Drosophila melanogaster: one gene and its partners. The protein of the gene in region 4 interacts with the protein of the main gene of each other region in a pairwise test. Each region holds a gene or a part of one and is shown on either strand. Other genes may lie near its edges.

The links.
Region 1: the proteins of spn-F (region 4) and Sap130 interact in a two-hybrid assay, tested with the Drosophila melanogaster proteins (one large-scale study listed by BioGRID).
Region 2: the proteins of spn-F (region 4) and CG31523 interact in a two-hybrid assay, tested with the Drosophila melanogaster proteins (one large-scale study listed by BioGRID).
Region 3: the proteins of spn-F (region 4) and Tango11 interact in a two-hybrid assay, tested with the Drosophila melanogaster proteins (one large-scale study listed by BioGRID).

Annotation. Positions count from the first base shown.
Region 1 is NT_037436.4:12,804,253-12,811,948, forward strand, and holds the start of Sap130 (Sin3A-associated protein 130), read left to right. Parts: upstream 1-1,649; 5' UTR 1,650-1,802; intron 1,803-1,933; exon of another isoform or gene 1,934-1,987; 5' UTR 1,988-2,012; coding exon 2,013-2,085; intron 2,086-2,434; exon of another isoform or gene 2,435-2,615; coding exon 2,616-3,578; exon of another isoform or gene 3,579-3,633; coding exon 3,634-4,224; intron 4,225-4,265; exon of another isoform or gene 4,266-4,293; intron 4,294-4,468; exon of another isoform or gene 4,469-4,516; coding exon of another isoform or gene 4,517-5,752; exon of another isoform or gene 5,753-5,844; intron 5,845-5,953; coding exon 5,954-6,411; intron 6,412-6,475; coding exon 6,476-7,336; intron 7,337-7,395; coding exon 7,396-7,634; intron 7,635-7,696. Other genes in the region: Atg1 (Autophagy-related 1), read right to left, coding at 103-192; CG32110 (uncharacterized protein), read left to right, coding at 4,517-5,752.
Region 2 is NT_033777.3:4,476,189-4,480,941, forward strand, and holds the start of CG31523 (uncharacterized protein), read right to left. Parts: upstream 3,020-4,753; 5' UTR 2,874-3,019; exon of another isoform or gene 2,445-2,873; intron 1-2,444. Other genes in the region: sac (sterile affecting ciliogenesis), read left to right, coding at 4,631-4,753.
Region 3 is NT_033778.4:21,716,270-21,721,849, forward strand, and holds Tango11 (transport and golgi organization 11), read right to left. Parts: upstream 3,695-5,580; 5' UTR 3,586-3,694; intron 3,577-3,585; exon of another isoform or gene 3,415-3,576; 5' UTR 3,367-3,414; coding exon 2,812-3,366; intron 2,564-2,811; exon of another isoform or gene 2,466-2,563; coding exon of another isoform or gene 1,662-2,465; exon of another isoform or gene 1,490-1,661; coding exon of another isoform or gene 1,487-1,489; intron 1,428-1,486; coding exon 1,149-1,427; 3' UTR 511-1,148; downstream 1-510. Other genes in the region: CG30398 (uncharacterized protein), read left to right, coding at 1,662-2,465; LBR (lamin B receptor), read left to right, coding at 4,633-5,058. UniProt on the Drosophila melanogaster protein: May play a role in mitochondrial and peroxisomal fission.
Region 4 is NT_033777.3:31,253,392-31,257,177, reverse strand, and holds spn-F (spn-F), read right to left. Parts: upstream 2,052-3,786; 5' UTR 1,936-2,051; coding exon 1,209-1,935; intron 1,141-1,208; coding exon 773-1,140; coding exon of another isoform or gene 737-772; 3' UTR 519-736; downstream 1-518. Other genes in the region: CG1750 (uncharacterized protein), read left to right, coding at 2,324-2,499, 2,555-2,879, 2,937-3,099, 3,155-3,519; mRpL32 (mitochondrial ribosomal protein L32), read right to left, coding at 3,561-3,786. UniProt on the Drosophila melanogaster protein: Plays a role in oocyte axis determination and microtubule organization during oogenesis. Also required for polarized organization of the bristle. Required, with jvl, for activation of the kinase IKKepsilon in the germ line.

The DNA of each region.
Region 1 (7,696 bases), on a different chromosome or scaffold from region 4:
TAGTAACATGACGGAATTGTTTAGGCTTAACATACATATACATATATGTATATATAGGTAAATGGAAGGTATTTATTTGTTTTGAAGAGTTTATTTTCTTACCTTGCGATGACGTCCTTTGTAGACGACGGCAAAGGCGCCATGGCCCAGCATATCCTTGGAGCTGTATTCATATTCCCCGACAATATTCATTGCATGCGAAAAAGGAGGAGGATGCGACGCCTGGAAGTGCTGCTCTCTCCCACTCTCCCTCTCTCTCTCTCACAGTCGTACACCCCCTCGCGCTCCACACTCTCTTTCGCTCGTGCACGCACGCTTGCTCTCCCCTTTTATTTTCTTCGCTCTTCTGCTTTGCTTTTGCTTCCAATTGCAATTGTGGAAAATGGAAAATCAATTTCTTTCCCCTTTGGCCAGCCACTAAATGTGATTCTCTGGCCCTCGACGATCTCCGAAATTTTCACGTAACACCACCACCGTCTTTTCCGTCCACCTGGCCAGTTGACAATTATCGGGCACACACTCTAATTTCACTTGTAATTGAATTAAACCGTTCTTTTCCGTGTGCGATTATCTCGGTTTTCAGTGTGGTATTGCTTTTAATTTGCGGCCCCACACTCGCGTACAAACACACACTTGCAGGATCGATGGCACACACTCTCTCACATACACACGCACGCACACACGGACGATCAGCGTAATTTCCTTTCGGTTTTTGAAAAATGTAGCTTTTTGGTCCCAGCGAAAAACTTTGCAAAAGGTGATTTTTCCAACTACTTCGCGAGAGAGACTAGTGGAAAAGGCAAGACGAAAACACAACTAAGCGAAGTGGTGGGTTGGCCAGTGTGGCCGCAGGTGGCGAACCGCCAATACGCCCCCGCGCGAAAAATACCACTTTCTTTAAAATACCAATGGGTCTTAATTTTTTGATTATATTCTTTTAGTTTTATTTTTGGGCCCAAATTTTCGAGGATAATAGTTGAATATTGTCAAGCTAATACCTATTTCGCTATATTATTATTATTGTTAAAACTAATGATGAAGAATTGTAAACGTGAACCATTGTTTAAAAGTACCAAAACAAGCCAATTTACTTGGCTTTACTTTACTTTTCTTCTCTTTAATGAAGAAAAAGTCACAAAATTGGGACAAAGAGTTTACTTATGCCAATGCCTGCAGAGCCTTGCTGTATCATCAGTTTCTGGATGGAAATGGAGACAAAACACAATACCAATCTATTAAATGACAATAACTATCAATTAAATGACTAATATTGGCTGTACACCAAGTAACCTATCCCCAATACTATGAAGAGTAGGCATTCCTCCTGGGTTGAATTTAACAAACTTCTTTGGTGTCTATTTTAATGAAGAGAAATCAAAGTTTTGACGATATATACAAAACAATATGTGTTAACATTGCATTACTTAGTTAAAAATCTATAAATCAATGAAAATATTGAATGAATTCCTTAATTTTATGATATGTTGGAAATACTTGTATTACTAATATGATTTATAAAATTCGTGCTTAAAAACCTATCATCCTAAAATGACGGTTTAAGCGGATAAAAAATTGTTTTGGTATTTCCTTACTTGTGTAATTTCCGAGTATTTTTCTGAACACCTAGCGTTTAGTATTTCATAGATTACTTATTGTTTTCAATCTGGTAACACTACTTAATTGAGCCTTGTGAAAAGAAGAGCGGAAAACAAGAAAAACTTCTCGTATTAATAGGTGGCGCGGTAAAAATCATCAAGTCTAATTTGCTGCGCTTAATGTGTGCGACCAATTAGCATAAAAAGGCAAGTTTATCTAAGAAAAATTTCAAAGTACAGCCTTTCTCAGACTGTTTTCGTGTGCGTGCTTGTGGAGAGATTTTGTGGATACATAGTGCGCAGTGATAAGAAGAGAAAGAGCGGGTGGTGTAGAAGAGGCGAAAATCGTGTGAAACGTGGAACAGAAGTCTAATGCCAAAATCGTCTTTCAGATATCGCAAAATCAAAGCTGGAATAATGAGTGCGCCTAGTGAGGGTGGCGCGGGAGGAGGGCCGGTGGGCGGTGGAAGTACAGCTACAGCGCCATCAGGTAAGTCCACCGATATCCAAGTGGAATATTTATATATATTTATCCCCATACGTATATACGTATTAGCATTGTCCCCGTGTATGCGTATGTATACATAACATTTGTGCCCCTCTCTTTTGCTCTTGCATACGCGCACTGTTTGTTTCCTATTCCTCTTTGTGCCTCACATTCGCAGCAACGTCTGCGTTTGTATGCCTTTGTTTTGTTGTTACTGTGCATTCGTTTCAGGGTTGCCAACTGCCCACAAAATGTTCTTATTTAGCTTGATCTCAAAGATAATATATTTCCAGTTATTTATCTAATAAATTTACTTGTTTGGCTCTTAAAAAATAGAAACATACATCTTTTTAAAATTGTATATTTATATTATATTTAATTTTCATCAAAAGGAAACAAATATTATTATTAAATTTAAAAGCCAAACAAATAAACCAATGTTATATGTATGTAGCTCCCCAATTTCACTTGTCCGTCCATTGGTGTTCCATGTGGAGCTTTTAACCGAAATCTCACAGTAGCCACCCGCACAGCCCCCCTGAAAACCATTAAGATACGCACCCAACAACTGCACACCCATGCAGTGCCATCGTTGTCATTGCTGCCATCTATATATCCATCATCATCATCATCATCTCTGGCAGCCACTGGATCTTTATCCGCATCCGCATCCTTGGTATCGCACTCACATCCGCCCCTGCAGCTGCGCGGCGTCATAAACAAATACTCATTGCCATCCCATTTGCCATCCTCTGCAGCGCACCCGGCGGTGGCCGCCAAGATCACCCACGTGAAATCCGACGGCGGCGGTGGGATATCCATTGCGGGCACACCGATCCTCAGCGGAGGCACAATTAAGGTGGCGTCAGCCAATCAAGTTCAACAAACTTCCCTAGGTGGCACTCCAATTGCTCTGAATGCAGGACAAGCGACTACGGCAGCTTCGATCCGTGCTATTGGCGCTGGTGGTCAGTCCACACAGGTGCGGGTGGTGATGCCAATGATCAAGCAGCTAGAGAATGTTACGGCCACCGGAAGGACTCAGATAACAGCCATACCAGCTGCACCGGCGAGGAGTGGGGCGAATGCATCGATCACGGTTACCAGGCCCGTAACCCAGGCCACATACTTGCCGCGAGCCAGTGTGACGGCCACCCAAATGGGAGGCGTTGGCGTTGGAGTTGGCCAGCGGCTCGTCACGCCATTGAGAGCCACATCATCGGCCACGGTTACGCCCACAGCGCCAACAGTGCTGAGCTCAACCGGAGGATTCGTACGCGGAGCAACAGCATCGGTGAGCAGAAGTGGAGTGGCGCTCACATCGCAACCATCGTCGGCTGTCATCTCGTCCAGCAACAGTGGTGCTTGGATGCAGAGTCAGGGACAGGTGCAACTGATCCGAACCATTCATCAGCCGCGCCAGCGAATTATAACGACATCCGCGGGGGTTTCGAATGCCAGTGTAGTGACCACTACTCCAGTGCAGGCGCCAACAGGTATGTTGTATCTTTTCTTACTCTGCAACATCATCCTAATTGTGTTTCCACATAGCTCTTTCCGTTTCCGCTGGCCAGCCCTTGGCGACACAACAGGCGACGGGACCGGGAGGAGGTCCTCAGGCCTATGTGGCTACTGTATTGCCACAGAGGCAGCATCAGGCTACACTAGTTTACTCCTCCAATGTGTCTGCACCGAATGCAAGTCAGAATCCGGGTCAGCAATTTAATCCACGCTTTGCTGTGGCCACGCCCACAGGCGGAGTAACAACAACGACGCCCGGTGGAACGACAGTAACACCTCGACAGGTGCGACCAATTCCGCTGGGCAAGAGTTTTCCAACCGCTAAGCTGAACACAACCAGCATAAGTATCAGGGCACCAAGCATACCGCAGCTGAATACCAGCGTTACGGCATCTCCAACGGCCGTTAGTGTTTCCGGTGGAGCAACAGTGGCACCCGGGCGGGGTCCCGGAGCCGGAGGAACTGCTCTGACGGCCACTAATTTGCCCACCACACGGATCATTCAGCTGCAGCAGCCAGCGACGGGAACCACTCAACAGATCATCGGATCCGGAGCTCGTCTGGCCGGGAACGTGATGCTGCAGCCATTCTTGATGAGCACTACCGCGGCGGCTAAGATGGGTAAGTTAGTACTTATAACTGGAATACTCTAAAATGCTTACTAAAGAGCAAGTCATCTAGTTTAGCAATCTGTTAAGCAATAGTCAATTCAGTATTTAATTTTTATAAAACTGAAACTTCTGCTGTTAAGTATGAAACTATCGATAAACCACGTTAACTGTCATCTAGGAAGCAGAGAATCTACTATCAATTCGTGTTGAAATAGGGGGACCCAATTTTTATTTCAATTGTTATCAACAGCTTACGAACTAATATCATTCAGTTTAGTCAACATCCAACAATCATCAGCAGCATGCTGGCTTTCGAGAAGGAGATCGTGGAGAAATCTAGATATTTTGATCTAATCACAAAAGAGTGTCAGGATTACCCTATGGCCAAGACAATGCCAGTTCTAAAGCAGCCCGAGAATTTCCAGGAACAAGAGGAGGACGTTGTAATGGCCGTGCAAGAAAAACTCAAATTTTTCCGCAAACTAACCAGCAATGGTCCCGCAGTCCCGACACCGCTTAAAGTCGTTGAAAAGGAGGACATAGGACATAAGGAGATACCAAAGGTGGTCAAGAAAGTTGACCGTAAAACGAAACTGCTGCAAGCCATACCAGCGGTCTTCAAACATAGCCACAATCGACGCTTTCGAAGATCCTTATTTTTAAGGTCCAACTATATCGAGCAATTTCGGCGTTGGACGGATCAAAAAAACAAGTTAAATAGAAAGCGCTTGAATGAAGCACATCAGTTGTGTTTAAAAGCCAAACACGAGCGAATTGCCTGCGAAATCGATAGATACAAGAAGCTGATCCTTAAGCAGTCCGTCCATGTGATCGAGGACATAAGAATCAGCAGCGAATTGATTCCGCTGACCAAAGAACACCATGATCGGCTGATGGAACTATCTAAGTATCCACTGCAGCAGGTAATTGTGGCCAAGTTCAATTTGGACATCTGCGGCAGTGATATCAAAATCCTGACCAGTGGCGGCTGGCTCAACGACAAAATAATCAACTTTTACATGAACCTACTGGTCGAGCGATCGGAGAAGCGTCCTGGTACAGTGCCCAGCGTGTATGCCATGAGCACTTTCTTTGTGCCCCGCCTGCTGCAAAGTGGCTTCGATGGCGTAAAACGCTGGACTAGAAAGGTGGATCTGTTTAGCATGGACCTCATACTTGTGCCTGTTCACCAAATGCTCGTTCACTGGTGCCTGGTCATAATCGATTTGCCTGCGAAAACAATGCTCTACTACAATTCAAGAGGCCGCGGTGACCCGAATCTGATGCGAGCACTAGTGAAGTACCTTCAAATGGAGTCGGAGGACAAGCTCGGGCTGTGTTTGGACACCAGTGAATTTCGCATCGAGGATGCCCAAAATGTGCCGCAACAAGACAACATGAACGATTGCGGCGTGTTCGTCTGCATGTTTGCAGAATACCTAACCCGGGATGCTCCAATAACGTTTTCCAAGAAAGACATGAAATATTTTCGCACTAAGATGGTTCTGGAGTTGACCGGCGACCAGCTGTGGAAGTAGGTGTTCTCCTATATAGAGTTTACTTTTTTATGGATTGAACTGAGCTGAGAACTATACAATAAGAACAAAAATAAAATAGTGTTTGAAAATTTAAGAATTATTTCGTGACTTGTTCTTTTGTAAGTGGAATATGATAGGAATAAACCCTACCACAATTAAATGAAATAATAATAATATATCTTTGAAACCATCAATCGACAGGCATTCGTCCACCTGTCACCATGACCGCTAAGGTTCAGCCATCGCTAACTATTACACAGCTTAATCCCATCGGAAAACTGTCAGCTGGCGGAGGAAGTGGAGGACAAACAATGGGGCCGCAGGGCGTGGCCAGCATCCAGGCGGTGCCAGTGCCGAATGTCTCTGCCAGTGTGGTCAATTCAAGCTCGGTGACGGGTGCCACATCGGCGGCCGGTGGAGCCACTGTCCTGCCACTTACCATCAGTGGCAGGGGAGCGGGAGTGGGACCAGGCGGTAATATCCTCACGGGAACTCTGACGCCCATCAAGAACGCAAGCGGCATCACTTTGGGCAAGATGATGATGGCACCAGCTTCTTCTGCCCCTGGAGCAGATGGTTCCAGCACAAGCGGGGCAACAGTGACGGGCTTTCAACGCACCTGGAATCCTGTAGTTGCTTCACAGAGCCAGTTGATGAAGGTAGGTTTCAACTATCTACATATATGATGCTTCAATTAACTATTAAAACTAAATCGTTATACAGATCGATGAGAAGGGAAGTGCTGCCACAATCTACTACGAATCTATGCCAGCCTCCGCCTCCACAGGCGTTCTATCATTGACTACGACAACAGTGACGCAGAGCACCCAGGCGCAGGCACAATTGGTTAGCAGCGCCGGTGGCAGCTTGTCGGTATCTTCGTTACCCTTTGCAAGTCACGCGACTGCCGGAGCGGGATCAGGTGGCGGCGGATCGCAGGCTACTTTTACGGTGTTGCCGTCGGGGGCTGGTGGAACAGCCACCCGAACCATTGGCCACCAGCAATTGATAATACCAGCAGGACCAAATAGTGCGCCGCCGCAGCACATGGTTATTCCGCTGCATACGTCCGTTAAGGTGACCACGGGAGCGGGCAATCCGCAACAAGCAACTGCAAGTGGAGCACTGGTGTCCAGCTTTATGCGCAAGCGGGATGCGGAAGGTTCGCCAATACGGGCGGCTAAAAATCTAGGACCCACTTTGCTTTCAATGGCTAGCAATAACAGTGGACAAAACATGCCACCGGCTCCGGGCACCACGTTCAACATTCAGCCGGTGTCCGTGACAGTGCCTCAATCAGTTGGCTCTGGGCTGACCGTAGAGGCGCTGGCCAAGAAGGAACGGGAGCGAGTCACCCATGGTGTAGCAAGTAGCGCCGCTAGTGTGCCTGCCACAGTTGGCCCCGTGAACTCAACGAGAAATTCGAGGGCGGACTCGCCGGCTTCGTCGGACGGCTCAACTACAGTGTCGGCGAATTCCTCACCTGGTGTGGATCAGCAATTACAGGACAGGATTGGCGATCAGCCAGCCACGGGAGGCGCTGGTGGGCGCGATAATTCCACGCATTTTAATCCCATTAATGAGGTGTGTACACAACAATCAATATATGCTTAAGTATGGCTTTAATATTTGTTCTTCAAAAGATGTACTCATCACACCAATCGATTCAGCAGAACCTTGGTCACTCCTCACTGGGAGCCCGCAGTGGTAGCAGTGCCTTTGTGGATGTGCAAGCACCAACGCCGCAGCAACAGCAGCCTCAGCAGGTGCCTCATTTGGTGGGATCGACGCAGATGCAACAAGGAACGCGTATGAATGGTACTGGTAATAGCTCCAGCTCCAGTTATGACTGCTCCTCTAGGAAAAAGCCGCGACGATCGACGTGAGTTATTTGAGTGGTTGTATCAAATGATGCATGTTGATAATCTGATAATGTATTTGCCA
Region 2 (4,753 bases), about 27 Mb from region 4:
TAATGATGTTATTTGCTGGAAAGGTGAGTACATGGTACTTATAGCTTTTTACTTCTTTTTAAATAACATATATAGTTACATTTACCAAAAGATATCAAAGTGCTCTTTTATTTCGAAAATTCGTATGCATTGCATCTCTTCTACAATATTTTGTTTAACCATGCAGGATAAAGGCGATTTACCATTTTGAGGTAAATTCTTAGAGCACCATTACTCGTAAAGTATAGCCTAGTAGATTCGTTGGGAAGTATGTATGTAACACTTCTATCGATATGCCAAAATAATATTAAAGATTCTCGCTTAAACATCTACTAGCTGACTAACAGGCAAGGAACTCGACCATACAGTTCTCATTTGGTATTTAAATATAATTCATAAGATATCATTATTAGGCAAAGGCTGTATAAACTAATAACTGTAAAAATAATACTTTTAAAATTAAATACTGGCTGCATTGCCAGACATCACAGTCGCTAGTCAACTTTTCCCTTTGGAATTATAATCCTTATATTGGCGTATTATGATCATTATATATTTCAAGATATAGGTTATATCGACCGCTATATCAAATCTTTTGTTACTTAAGGGCTCTGGAGCCTAAGTATGCCAAAAGCATTTAATAAACTTTTATCATAGACTTGCCTCCTAACCGAACGATAGCTGGATTCGCATTACCATCATGAATTGGATCTGTCCATCTCACCGCCGATAACGGCACATTTGTCTTTATAGCACCGCAACAGGTGGTGAGGCTAGTTCTCTTGACTCTGACGATGCTGTCACTGTCCATCGAATGATTATGCCCACGATGTGTTAACCCCGAATGGTACGAAGATCGTGGCCAAGCATCTCAGTCTCAGACGAGAGTCTCAGGGGCCAGAGAACCCGTACGATGTCATTGTTCTTTTCTTTCTCCATAGGACAAACCGGTTAAAAAACTTTCCTCATAATAGCAGAGCCCAAAAGTGCTTATTAAGCATGCGCTGCCAAAACACATATTAGCGAGCACCTATGTACATATAAACCAGAGGACTAATACATGCGATCTCTATAACCAAGATCTCATGGACTTTGGCCGAATTTTTATGTTGGCCCGAATAATTTCAGATTGCTTGTGGGTGTGACTGATACAGCCAGCCGATTGTATAGCTCCTCTCTTCTGAGAAAATCGAAGCCCGGCAATGAGACACAATCTTGAGATTTGCCGTGTAAACGCGAATGAATATTTGGATTTGATGTGTTTTCTGAGCAATCTAAGCAGATAATGTGTTTACTGAGTCTAAGCCAGTCGCGCCAGCCAAATAACTATACGCGAGGGCCAAGGTGCAAAGCGATCAATTAGCACTTTAGCACTGCATTGTTGCAATCTATTTGCGAAAGCCCTTGACTCTACGTAGCTCCAGGTTCGCTTTTCTGACCACCGGCCAGCGGTAATTGATGCCGCACCACATTCTCCAGGTGATACATACATATGCATACATACATACATACATACACACATACACACATACATAAATTTCTGATCGAAGTATTTAGCGCACTCGTTGGCTGACCCTAAAAACCTGAAAAAATGCGAATGCAACTACATTTCTCGACGTTTCCGCATTCGGCGGACAGGTGAAACTTTTTGATTGACTGACATAGGCGGCACACCACTGCACTCCTTACCCAACAAAGGTACACAGTAGACAATGAAGACAGCGAAATGCGTTCGGCTATTTAATACTATTTAAAGTCAGTTCTCAGGATAAGGAATTAGCTGCTATACCTAAGCTGCTGCTAAAATACTTCTCATACGGAAGAAGTTGTACCACTAAAAAGAAGAAATATTCTATGTATTCGAAGTAGCATAGAAGTACCTACTGCTAATACCCGCATTCCTCAAATAATGAATTTTTTTATCTCGATTGGGAAACAATGGTCAACAATATAATTTCCATTGTTATCAACAAAATTTACTTAATATAAAATTGTATTGAATAAGTGATTCATGAATTACAGTTGTAGACCGAAAGGGTCAATTGTTTTTTACACTTCATAGAACCAGATTAATCCAATAAACAATATTTAATTCATTAAAGTACGAATAGGTTACCAGAGAATCTATGAAAACAAGTCTGGGCAATCCTTTGGAATAATAATTCATCCCTCTCACGAAGGGCACCCACGCCCCTGTGCGCTCTCTCTTAGCCACCGACACGTGTGAGCTCTTTTGCTCTTTTAGTTGGCTGTTGCTTCACGGCGACTCTCTTCGGCATCGCCTACTGACGCTGCCGCTGCGAATGGGCGTGGCGGGAAGCAGAGCAAGAAACAGTGGACTACCGCCACTTTTTTAATTAAACCATGAACAAACAGGCAATGGCGGTGATGACTAATATCACCGAATCGCAAGGCGAGGGTGGGGAGCAGCTGGAAAATGCTTTCGCGGCTGTGGCGATACTCACCTGCGAGGTATGGTGTGGAAGGGGGGGGGGGGGGTCGAGCGGCGATTGGAATGGAAGAGGAATCCCGAGTGCACACACACAAATGCACTTGTGCACGGCCACAAATACACACTCGCGAAGGAGAACGAACGCAAGTGTAAAGGGCCCGCGCTTTTGGGAATTGAACAATCGACTAGTTTCAGCTTGGGCTGGCTGCCGATGCTTTTGATACTGAAACTTCGATACCGCGGGCTGCGATGCCGATGGCTATGGCGATGGCTACAAACAACAGCAACGCCAACAAAAGACACACACAAACACCGCGTTGGATCTCACCGCACATAAAATATATCCGACAACATATCGTAACGGACTTCACCATGCAGAAAATGCGATCTAGCCCAATAAAACTATATGCGCTTCCAAAAAAATATATTAATATCGAATTACTTCTTAGTCAACTAGCCATATCTTTCGGATTTCTTGGGAAACGACGACGCGAGTGAAATCGTTCAGCAACAAAGAGAGCGCGTTTTGCCAGTCGCTTAAATATATTTTTGTACAAAACGGTCTCGCAACTTCGAACATGTTAGATTGGGTTGGCAGCAACTAAGCAGAATGTTGGCACGAGTGTTGCCGTTTTAGCATTTTTAAAGCTCGACTTAGGTTATTTGAAGCCCGCAAGGACTGTGATAGGGATTACAGATTAAATAATATTGTGCGTAAAATCTTTGTGATTTGATAACCTGCATAGAAGGTACCAAGGAAACAGAAAAATAATATGGATCGTCGCGACTATACCCGTATACCCTCAGCCAAATGAAATGCAAAAGCATAAATTGACTGCGAGGGGAATACTTTTCACAGGCCGTTAATATTCTTTGAACTTGTAGTTAACTTTAAATAAAGGTTTCTGTGGCAGGATTGTAATTTTTGGCATGTTTAATTCTACACTAAATTAACTATTTGATTTATTTGATTTCTTTACCAAATAATTTGAGCTAGACATAATCTAGTTCTGGCTGTTCCGTTTCTAGATAATCTAGATCTGGCTATGGAAAATCTAAAAAGGCTGAACTGAGACGAGGCAAAATGATCTTTGTGGATTCCGTTCCGGAAAGAGTGACCGAATTTCGAGAATTCGGTACTTATCGATATTATCGGAACCCATTATTTAGCATTGTCATCATAAAAACGATATTTAGAGAATGTAGAATGTTAAATGTTTTTTAATATTTCTTGTAATCAAAACAAGATCGAGTTCCCCTACTTTAAAAGTCCTGTTACTCAAGTCGTATACTAAGTGCGAATGAGAAATTCCAACATTCTTTTAGCAGATCGAAGGAAATTTAAAAAACAAAATAAACTATTTAAAAAATTTTTCAAAAGCGTGGGAGTTTTGGGCGGTTTGTTGGTGTTATAAGGGACGAAAAACAGACAAAAGTCAGAGGGTTCCTCGACTTTGCGAGCGAGATGTTGCAAAATGGTATATCTATAGAAATTCGCATTACTGCGAGCGAGATGTTGCAAAATGGTATATCTATAGAAATTCGCATTACAATCAAATTACTTTGTAATTGTGACAGTGAAAGTCTCGTGAAGTCTTGCGTGTTAGCGTCGTAGTTTGGGGCGGCTTGTTGGCCTGTTCAAGAATATTATATTTTATAGAGTCGGAAATGCTTCTTTTTACCTTTATCGAATTTAGTAAAACCTTTTACGGCAAAAAAAATAATTCTCATAAAAGTGCGCTAAATAATAAAAAATGAATAAACAACAACGGAAGCTTGAAATTGAAATTAAAGATTGTTCAAAATTAAAAAAATGTAGTAAAAAATGTATACCAAATTAAACGACCAAATTTTACATTCGATTGTTCATATGGCTATTTCGACTCGGTTGTTCATACTGATCAAGAAAGTATAAAGTGAGCTTTATATGGTCGCAAATGCCTCATTCACTGCGATGCAAACACCTTACTGAAGTCAATGTATCCTTTTGGAAATAAAATAGTTTACATATAATTTAATAAAAATATTAAATATTGCTGAGACCGCCATATTCACATTAATTTTATAAAATCGAATTTTTTGGTTTAATTTGACTAAACAGCAGTAATTAATGCTCGGGCTTTGTAACAATCAACAAATACACTGCTTTGAAAGGAACGCCACTTTCTCATTTAAATCCACTTTAACAATATATTTCATATGGATCCGGAGAACTTAGAGGTGGGACAAAATTATGAAGGTTCCCAGGAATTCGATGAGAGCAGCACCAGCTCAATTAGCAACAAGGGCCCGGATGACAGTCAATTCAAGCGTGAGGCTGAG
Region 3 (5,580 bases), on a different chromosome or scaffold from region 4:
GCGGCGTTTCGCCTGGAAAGGCGAGTCGTTCGGAAAATGAAAGAGAAAAGTAGTCCCCTTGCATATTATTTGTGTAAAGTAAACGATAATTCCATTATAAATAAAAAGATACAAACAATTGCATCTTGTTCTCTAAGTAGTTGGATGATAGCGATTGATCGAAGATCGGGTGGCAAAAGGGAAAGAAACAATCCACTTCACAGACAAAATACACGAAAAACAATACACACACCGCAAATGAATCGAACGAAATTTCGCTCAGGTCTTTTCGTCATTTTGCATTAAACTTAATGTTTAACGTCTTGTTAGCTAAAGATGTATAGCAGAAGAGGAAGTCGGAAGTTAGATGAGACAAGCAGATGTAATTGCATTTAATCGGTAGTTTTAATTGATTACTATACGTACTATTTAAAGAGAAAACCAACAAATTAAAATAAATACATTTTTTAAATGCGTTGAAAACCGAAATCTACTTATTTCCTGGTAGAAAATTAACGAAGCATATGGTTTGTTTTGGTACTTTAAACGTTTTATTTTAAATATCGTTATGAATTCATGCTACACTCTAAATGGATTTCCTTCGTTTCCGCTAGTTATGCAAAAATCAATGCAATGATTTCTGTGGGATTTAGTGTATAATATTATATTTATGTATATATTTAACTATTTATCGTATGGGATTTCGCATACAAATACCATTAAAGTTCTTGTTTTCACTTTGGGATTATCAAATGTTAACAGATCTAAAATATAAACAACCCTTTTAAACAATATCTTTTCAATGCAATGCTGCTGTGATGATTCGGATTCGTGTTGGGGGCTGCTCAGATGAAACACGTAGAGATTAAAGCTTAGATTTAGATACACGCTCCTTAAGTGCCAGATCTTACAAATTAAGTATGGGGGCCTTTGTTTTTTTCGTTTTCCACGGTGTACAAAACAGAACGATGTTGCGCTTATTTATTACGGAGCTTAGTCTACAAAATTATGGCAAACAAAAAACAAAGTCTCTCTCAGAGCCTTTCCACAAAAGAAACACAAAAGTCAAGAAACGAAAGAAGCTGTTCCAAAAAGGGTGTCCATAGCAAGGTGGTTGTCTTGGCACCCAGCGCAGATCGCTAACCATCATAGTGGGCTCTACATTGCGTCTAGTTGCGATTCAGCCAGAATATTGTCTTGAGAACGAAGTAGGCCAGGCCCAGACAGTAGACGATCTTCTCCCGCTGCGTGCGCTGTTCATTGTTGATCTCGATGTTCAGCACCCGGCGATTCAGCTTGGCCAGCTGGCGTCTCAGATACAGGATCTCCTCGTGGGGCGTCAGCTCGCCCATGGGCGTGCCCTCTCGGTGCGCCAGCATTGAGGCATCCAGGTTGTTGTGCTGCTGTTGATTCAGCTGCGAGCGCTTGCTGGCACTGCCTGTGGTCAACTGGAACACATAAGGTAGTCAAAGATAAGTTGCGCCAAATAGGATTTAGATGTGTGTACCATGTTAAGTGTTTGCTTTGTGAAAGTTTTCTGTTATCAATGTGAAGCAAGAGTCATTTTTCAGAGCTCCCCCAAATATTTCCGGTGTCAATATAAGCAATAAACATTCGAAAAAAAAAAAAACGCCCAACTCGAAATTTTCTGTATAGCCAACCAATTTCTTTCGATCCCAGCAATGACAACCAGTCCCAACGTAGCAGAAGTGGATGATGGCGAGCTGCCGAAACTGGAGGCGATAATCAGCGCGCTGAAATGCGAGCAGACGGGTCACATTATGGAGGCGATACTACTCTACGAGGAGAGCATCTTCAAATTGTCCCAGATGGCCGATGCGGAGCCGAGTCGCCGCCAGCTGTGTGGGAAGTATTTGAAGATGTACGAGGCGCGGGCCAAACAGCTGAGGGATCAGGTCAAGGGTCACTTGCACACCAGCCGTATGCTGGATCACATCACCATCGAGCAGGGTGCCAGGGGCAGAAGCTACCAGCGGCTGTTTGGTCCGTATTTGGACGATGCGGTTCGGGAGGCCCATCTCAACGAGCCACACCTCACGGAGCCACCACACTTTAGGAATTTGCTTAACTTTTTCGAGGTGCTGGTCAAGAACTGTCGCTATCTAAAGTATATTCGCCTCACTACGCGCCCAGATGCGACGGCGCCCAAGAATCAGTTGCAGATGCTGCAGCAAATGCAGAGCGATCTGGCCGGTGGCAACATCCAGATGAATTTCCAGATGGACGACAGTTTGCACGATCGCAAGATCGTTCTTAGCTCGGGAGTGGTCATTAAGATTGGCCGTGGCCTTCACTACTTCGAGCCCATGGAGGGTTCGTACAGTTTGGGTCTGTGCGATTTCGATTTTCGCAAGTGCCTGGCCACCGAGGTGGACATCTGGAAGTGTCGTCCTTTTGCGAGGCGCCTTAAGGATACACAGGAGGGCGAGGATCGACCGGAGGCACACGGCTACTCCAGCGATTAACAAAAAGTGAGAGTGTGTTTCCACACAGTCGATGGAAATTGGGTCAGCCGTCTTATCAAAGCCGTATTAGGAATTCAATAAAAACCAGCAGGCATGGTAATCTCTTTGCAAACTGAATGGGTGGCAAGCGCAGTGTGATCGCTATCTATCTATTATCTATTAACAATTTTGGTTGTTTTATTGCGTCATGTGTGGATCGCTAGGGTCTAGACTTCCATCAAATGAAGTGCTCTTTAACAGAAATCACAGAGTTGCTCATTCTGCCCATCGATTTAATTTACAAGCACTTGCAATTGAATTGAAAAACTAAAGGAAAATTGTTGCTTGTATGGCATATTTTACTCACCTGCGAGTCCGATTCAACGGAATTGGTGTCATTGCCTTGAAATCCCATACGGGCGACTCCATTGGCACGCACATATTGGGTGGCATGGACCTCCTCATCGTCGGCGTCCTCGTCGAGATCATTACCATACAAATGATGACCATTGGCCCGGATGGGCGAGCTCTCCTCGGAGGCCGAGGGAAAGTGTTGATCGGTGAGGGTGATAATGCGCGGTGGCGTCTGGACGCGCACCAATCCGACCGATGGGTTCTTGGGCAGAATGGAGTTCTCCAGCTGGATTTCCCGCGGAGCAGATCGCGTCTCCAGATGCTGATTGTGGCCCAGGACCACAATTCGATCCGGTACATTCATGTCGATCTTGTCGTGATAGTTCCAGGAGCTGATCATCCCGTTCTGGTTGGACAGCAGCAGATCCTCGTTGGAATACTCCCCGGTGGCCTTTATTCTTTTGGGAACCCGCATCTTGTCGTTAATCTCGTGGGCATATTTGGCGTCGCTGTAGAGATCATCGTCCAATCCATTGAACATGGGCGTCGGCGATTGCGGGGTCACCATGGCGATGTCCTGGGGAATCCTTTCAACTGATCCAATGGGCCTCACTTGCTTTTGGTTTTTCGTTGTTTGTCCAATTTTTTTTTTTTAGGTAGAAGGCGGCCGTGAGAGAGACGTTTTCATAACAAATTAATAACCAGAATTTGGCAAGCGCAACATTTTCGTCCGGCTTGTGTGCGTGTGTTTGTTGCGTATTGGGTTTTTCGAATGCTTTCTACTTACATTGCTCGGGAAATGACAGAAAAATGTCCGAGAAATCCGTAATAATTTACAATTTTTCTCCTGCCTTTTGTTATGTGTGTGAGGAGATTGATATAGAATGTGCTAAATAATACCAGGAATGACAGTCACTCTACTTCCACTCTACAGATCCGGCACTCTAGCTCCTTTTTAGCCAAATTAATTATCTACCTCAATATCAGTAGAAAACTAGGTATTTAAGAAGTTATTTCAGTTGTTTTGATTCATTTTATTAATATGTTTTTGTTTCTTGAAAAGTTTGCGGTATTCTTCTGTCTTGAACAAATAATTTACAACTCGATTTAAGCGACAACTTTGGTCTTTATAACCTACATATGTAAATAAAATGAGTACTGTTAGTCTTTGCAAAGATCAAATACTCCAAAAAGTTTTCTATCGATTTATAATACTTGCGCATTGGTATGGTTCGATTAATGTTTAAGGGAATGTAAAAATAAGTACAAGTACTTTTAATACTTTAAAATAATTAACCTTGAATACATTTTAAATTGTCTTAAAGTGCCCACTAAACCACTGTTAACGACACGCTGCGTGCTGTTAGGCGCCGTTCGGCGTTAGCCAACACTGAAAAATACCAACGCAGTGGGCCGCGCTCATTTTACAACAAAATTTTCTCATCCGCCGACAACTAGACGCGCGTCTTTTTTATCAAGTGATTTATGCTGAATTTACGGCGTTTCAATAGCCCCATAAAGTGAAAAACTACAAATAAATCCCATCAGAAGTGAGTTACTAAGTTGTGAAGCGTTAAAAGCTGTTTAAGCTAAGTTAAACATCGTTTAAAAACTGCCAGCCAAGAGGAAGAGAGCAAGAGAGAGAGCGCGTTCTGCCAGCGTCGCTGCCTGCGGAATGTACAGTTGCGGCAGCGACGTCGCTTTTCCTTTCGGCGCGCAAACACAAATAAATACAGAAAATTAGAGAAATAAAGAAAGCAAAGAAACTAGAGAAAACCACAGCGTTACTTAAGTACATTAATAGATTGTGTGTATTTTGTAAACTATAAATAACATGCAGCACTCGCCGAGCACAACGACTGATCATATCCATTTTGCAGCACGTTTTTTCGACCGCAATTCATACACCATGGATCGACGCCTGAGACGCCCGCGTCGCACGGAAGACGTGTCCAGCGGTCCACTTCTGGCCCAGTCCAAGCAGCCCAGCCTCCTGCCGGTGACCCGACGTACGGGCTCCGTGACAGCTGCGGGTGCCACCGCCACCGCCACCGCCACCGCTGGTCCCGCCACCCGGACACGTGCCTCCCCGTCACGCAACAAGGTCGTCGCACCGCCCTCGCCCGATCTTGGCCCGCGCACCCGTCGCTCCAGCCGGCCGAGGTCGTCGGTGGGTCCGCTGACCGGATCGGGATCTGGTTCCTCGCTGCCCATCAAGGCCGCCATCAAGGCACGCACACCCATCCCAGAGGTTTCCGAGGTGAGTTCTCCAGCACAAACCAGTTTTGCTGGCCGGTGGATAAGTGCTTAGCTATATTTGATCAGTATTCCAACCATCAGCAGTTTAGAATTTTGAAATCAATTGCTTTCAATATAAAAGCATAGCGAAATATTAGTTCTATTTAATTTCGATCGTTACAACCAATTAAACTACATAATTAACTGTAACTGTCCTACCTTTATTACAAATTTCGAGCTTCTGTTTCTGTGTGTTTTATGAAGCTGATAAGCAGCACCCACCGCCCTGCTTATCAGCTTAGAGTTCTGCCCTCATATGCTACCATAAGGAAATTCCGGGCTAAGATAACGGATTTGTAATTGTTGAGCTAAACTGCTGATTACAAAAATAGAGGGGAATCTGATAAGTGTACTCAAAACACCTTTAACCCAGTTTTGAGTACCCACATATTTTTGTACAATCATGTCCCTTTGTATATTCTTCTAAGGTTATATAGTTTCTGACTTTGTTTTATCACTTATTACATCTTTACTTATGATCTTA
Region 4 (3,786 bases):
GCCACGTGCCTGTGTCTTAAAAATATTTATTTATCAAACTTATTAGCATAGGCAAATTAAAATGTTTCCTTAAGCTAAATTCCTGCTGCGACCCACTCCAAATGCATTAAAAGAAAGTTAGCTCTGAGCATTTGCATTTGTATTGCTATCAATGGCAAATCTTATGGTCAATATTTTGGCAAATATTCGCATTGAATGACTGGATCAGCCCGATTAGGCACACGTTGCCAGTCGGGTTTCGACTACGTCATAGCCAAAAAAACAGGGAAATCCTCTGACCAGTTACAGCATAATGGCCTCAAGCCAAACTTCTTTGTCGAATGTTCCACTCTTCCCCCAAAGTGTGTGACTCACAGAAAAGCTGCCAATTAGATCGGATAATGACCACAAGCGATGGTAACATCGATCGTCATCTTTGATATTACAATATTTGTCAGCGCTAATAATATAATATTTATGTTGTCCACGGTCCACGATTTCACTTTCCAACCAACCGAAGAGAGCGCTCAACATGTTTTCAGGCTTTTCATTTAAACTGTATTTCGTATTCGGTCACTTACATCTATATATTCATGCACTCTCCGCAATTATAATACAATATATATATATTTTTTCTTAAAGTTCAATGTTGTATAGTTTTGATACATGATCGCCCTAACGTCTTATCAATAGAAACGTAACAAGCGGCTCCTGCGCAGTCAAACTGCTCCTTAATCCTTGGATTTCTCCGGTCAGGTCAGAGTTCGGTGGCGAAATAAATGCGCCTACTGGGTCAGAAGTCACCCACAGCATGGGAAACGAACTCAAACTGGCGCTCAATGCTGTTCTCCGACTCCAGTTCCAGTGCATCGTCGATGAAGTGCATCTCGACGTGCTCGCGGAACGCATTGAAGGACACTTGGCTGGAGTACTGCTTGCCGCACATAGGGCAGGTCTTCTCCATTGCGTCGGCTGCATCTGCTTTGATTTTCTCTTGTATTATGTTAATTCTCTGGCTGGGCGGCGTGCCATTGTGTCCATTGTGTTGGCTCTCATAGTTCTTCAGCTCGCTGGTCAGGCTGTCGTCCGTTTCCAGACTTTTGTCGGCCATCTCCGGTTTTTTGATGGTTTTCTGGGCACATTCCGGACAGGGCTTGAGTGCTGCTTGCACATAAAACAGGCGTTAAAAGTTATTTTTTTTATAGCATGAATTCCATTTTGTTGCTTACCTATGCGATTTTCTAGCAGAGTCATTACCGATCTGAGCTCCTGCTGCTGCTTCATGGCCTCTCGCCTCAGCTCCTGCAGTCCATCCAAACATCTTTTGGCATCCACATTGGCATCTGGTTCACTAGTGGTTTCCTCCACCTTTTGCAGGTTGTAGGGGTAACCTAGTTCCTCACTGCTGGCACCGAAGTCATCCAGGGCTATTTCCTCCAGACTGAGATCCTTAATGCCGTCGGAGAGCATCTTTTGGCGAAGGTGAGGATTGGGGGAGTGCTGCGTAAAGGTCTTGGAGCGCACCAGGTTCTGGTTTTGCTGGGCTCGCGAGTCTGTTGAGCTGGGCAGTGCGTTCAGCTGCTGATCCTTGGAGATCTGCGATAGGCGGGACCAGAGCCGTCTGTTCTCGTTGGATACCATGCCAATGTGCTCCTCCAGCTGCTCCTTTTGGCGCTGCAGCTCAGAGACCTGTGCTTTCAGAGAGAGGACGTCCCCAGTGACCCCGATTTCGTTTGCCCTTGGAGCACCTTCCGACCTGCTGGAGGCCTCCCTTAGCTGCTGGTTCTCCTCCTCCATGCTGGCCACGCGGCGCTGCAGCTGGATGCACCGCTCCTTGATCGTCTGCAGCGCCACTTGCAGTGCGTAGTTCATTTTTTCACTGGAGGGGGAGTTTGTGGATCCGGAAGCGGACATGGAACTGGCCATAGGCGTGATTTTGGCAGCAGATGCCTCCATTCTGCAGTATTGGAGTTCCTTGGCACTTGATCCCAAAAATATACGTTTTCCTGTAGATGTTTGATTTTCCAAATTTTTATTGCGTTCTCATTAGTATGACCGTGCGATGAACTTAAAAAAATAATATACACTATACCGATAGTCTATAGTCACTGAAGACAGATAAATAAAAGTAAAGTAATGTATTGAGCTAAGTTTAATTACTTAAACAAAAATAACGACTCTTGATCTTATAAAGTTAGACCACCATTTACATGGTTGAAGACGATAGGTTCAACAGGTTTCACTCTATCTCAGCATTCCTATTACGTTATTTGGTAGAGTGACCAGCTGGTATCGCGAACAGCTGTTTTTGTTTACGCTGCATTATTATCCAACAAATTTTCCGATGTTTTGCGGCAAGAGTTTAGTCAATAATTTTTACAAATATAAGAGAAAAGTGTGGCAGAATGTAATCCCAATTGCACAGCGCTGCAAGGGAACTTACCACCCTCCAAAAATTCTCTTTTTCGGTACCGACAATTTTTCCTTGCCCAGCTTACAGGCGCTACACAAAAACTGCGGGTAAAATGTTTTAAACAATAATGTTAAATTGGATTAATAAGAATATTTTTCTTAGTGATCGTTTGGGAGTTGTTACCTCCTTCAAAAGTCCCGCCAACTGTGTGAGGACCTACGCGGAAAAGGAGAAGCTTCCCCTGCAAAAGTGGCCCATAGATCCTTCTGTGTGTCCGCAATTTGATCTGGGTGTGGTGGTCTCCTTTGGCCACCTGATTCCTGGTAGTATCATCAATGGATTTCCTTATGGGATGATCAATGTTCACGCTAGTTTGTTACCCAAATGGCGGGGAGCTGCTCCCATCATATACGCCATCATGAAGGGAGATGCCAGCACTGGAGTTTCCATCATGAAAATCGAACCTCACCGGTTCGATATCGGTGATGTAAGTTCATTCTTATCTTACCATTGTATGCAGTAGTATTGACGACTTATGCTTTAGATTTTAGCTCAGCGAGAAGTGGCTATTAATCCCGATGTCTTCATGCCGGATCTGCATGCATCTTTGGCGTCGCTAGGAGCCGAGTTACTTGTGGATACTATTAACAACCTATCAGTAAGACTTAAGGAAGCCAAACCCCAAGATAGTTCAAGGGTCAGCTATGGTAAAGCATATCTAAGCACTTCGAGAACCTATATAAACTATATTTTTGCCTTCAGCTCCCAAGATTACCAGTAAAATCACAGAAATTATCTGGTCCGAGCTGAGTGCCATTGAAATATACACTCGTCATCGAGCTTTGTATGGCTACAAAAACCTTACAACCAACTTTTTGGGCAAGCAAGTGCAGTTGCTGGAGTTGCGATTACCGGAGAAGAGAGTTCCCGTCCAAGAACCTGGTGCCATCAGCTACCTAAGGAAGTCGAGATCCCTCATAATCGGATGTGCTCAGCAGAGTCAGTTGGAAGTGCTTCAGTTACGCGTGGAAGGTAGAAAACCTATGAGTGCCCAGGACTTTAACAACGGATTCCTGAAGCAAGCAAGGTCCTTATCCTTCACAGAGAATAAAATAGCATCGATTTGATAACGAACGTGTGGATTTAATGCACAATGGATGCTTAGTATCTAGGCCAAGTCGGAGGGCTTGACTTCCTTGGTTTCGGACAGCTGCTGCGTGGATTTTTGGAGCAGATTCTTGGTGAACCACATGGGACGAGGCTTCTTCATCTCCACGATGCGCTTGTTTTTCAGATCATCTGTGGACTGTTCGGCCTTCTCGCCTTCATAAAGAACGATTACTTCCTTGTCCACGGGATCTAGACCGAGTGTCTCCTGGATTTTCGACTGCATG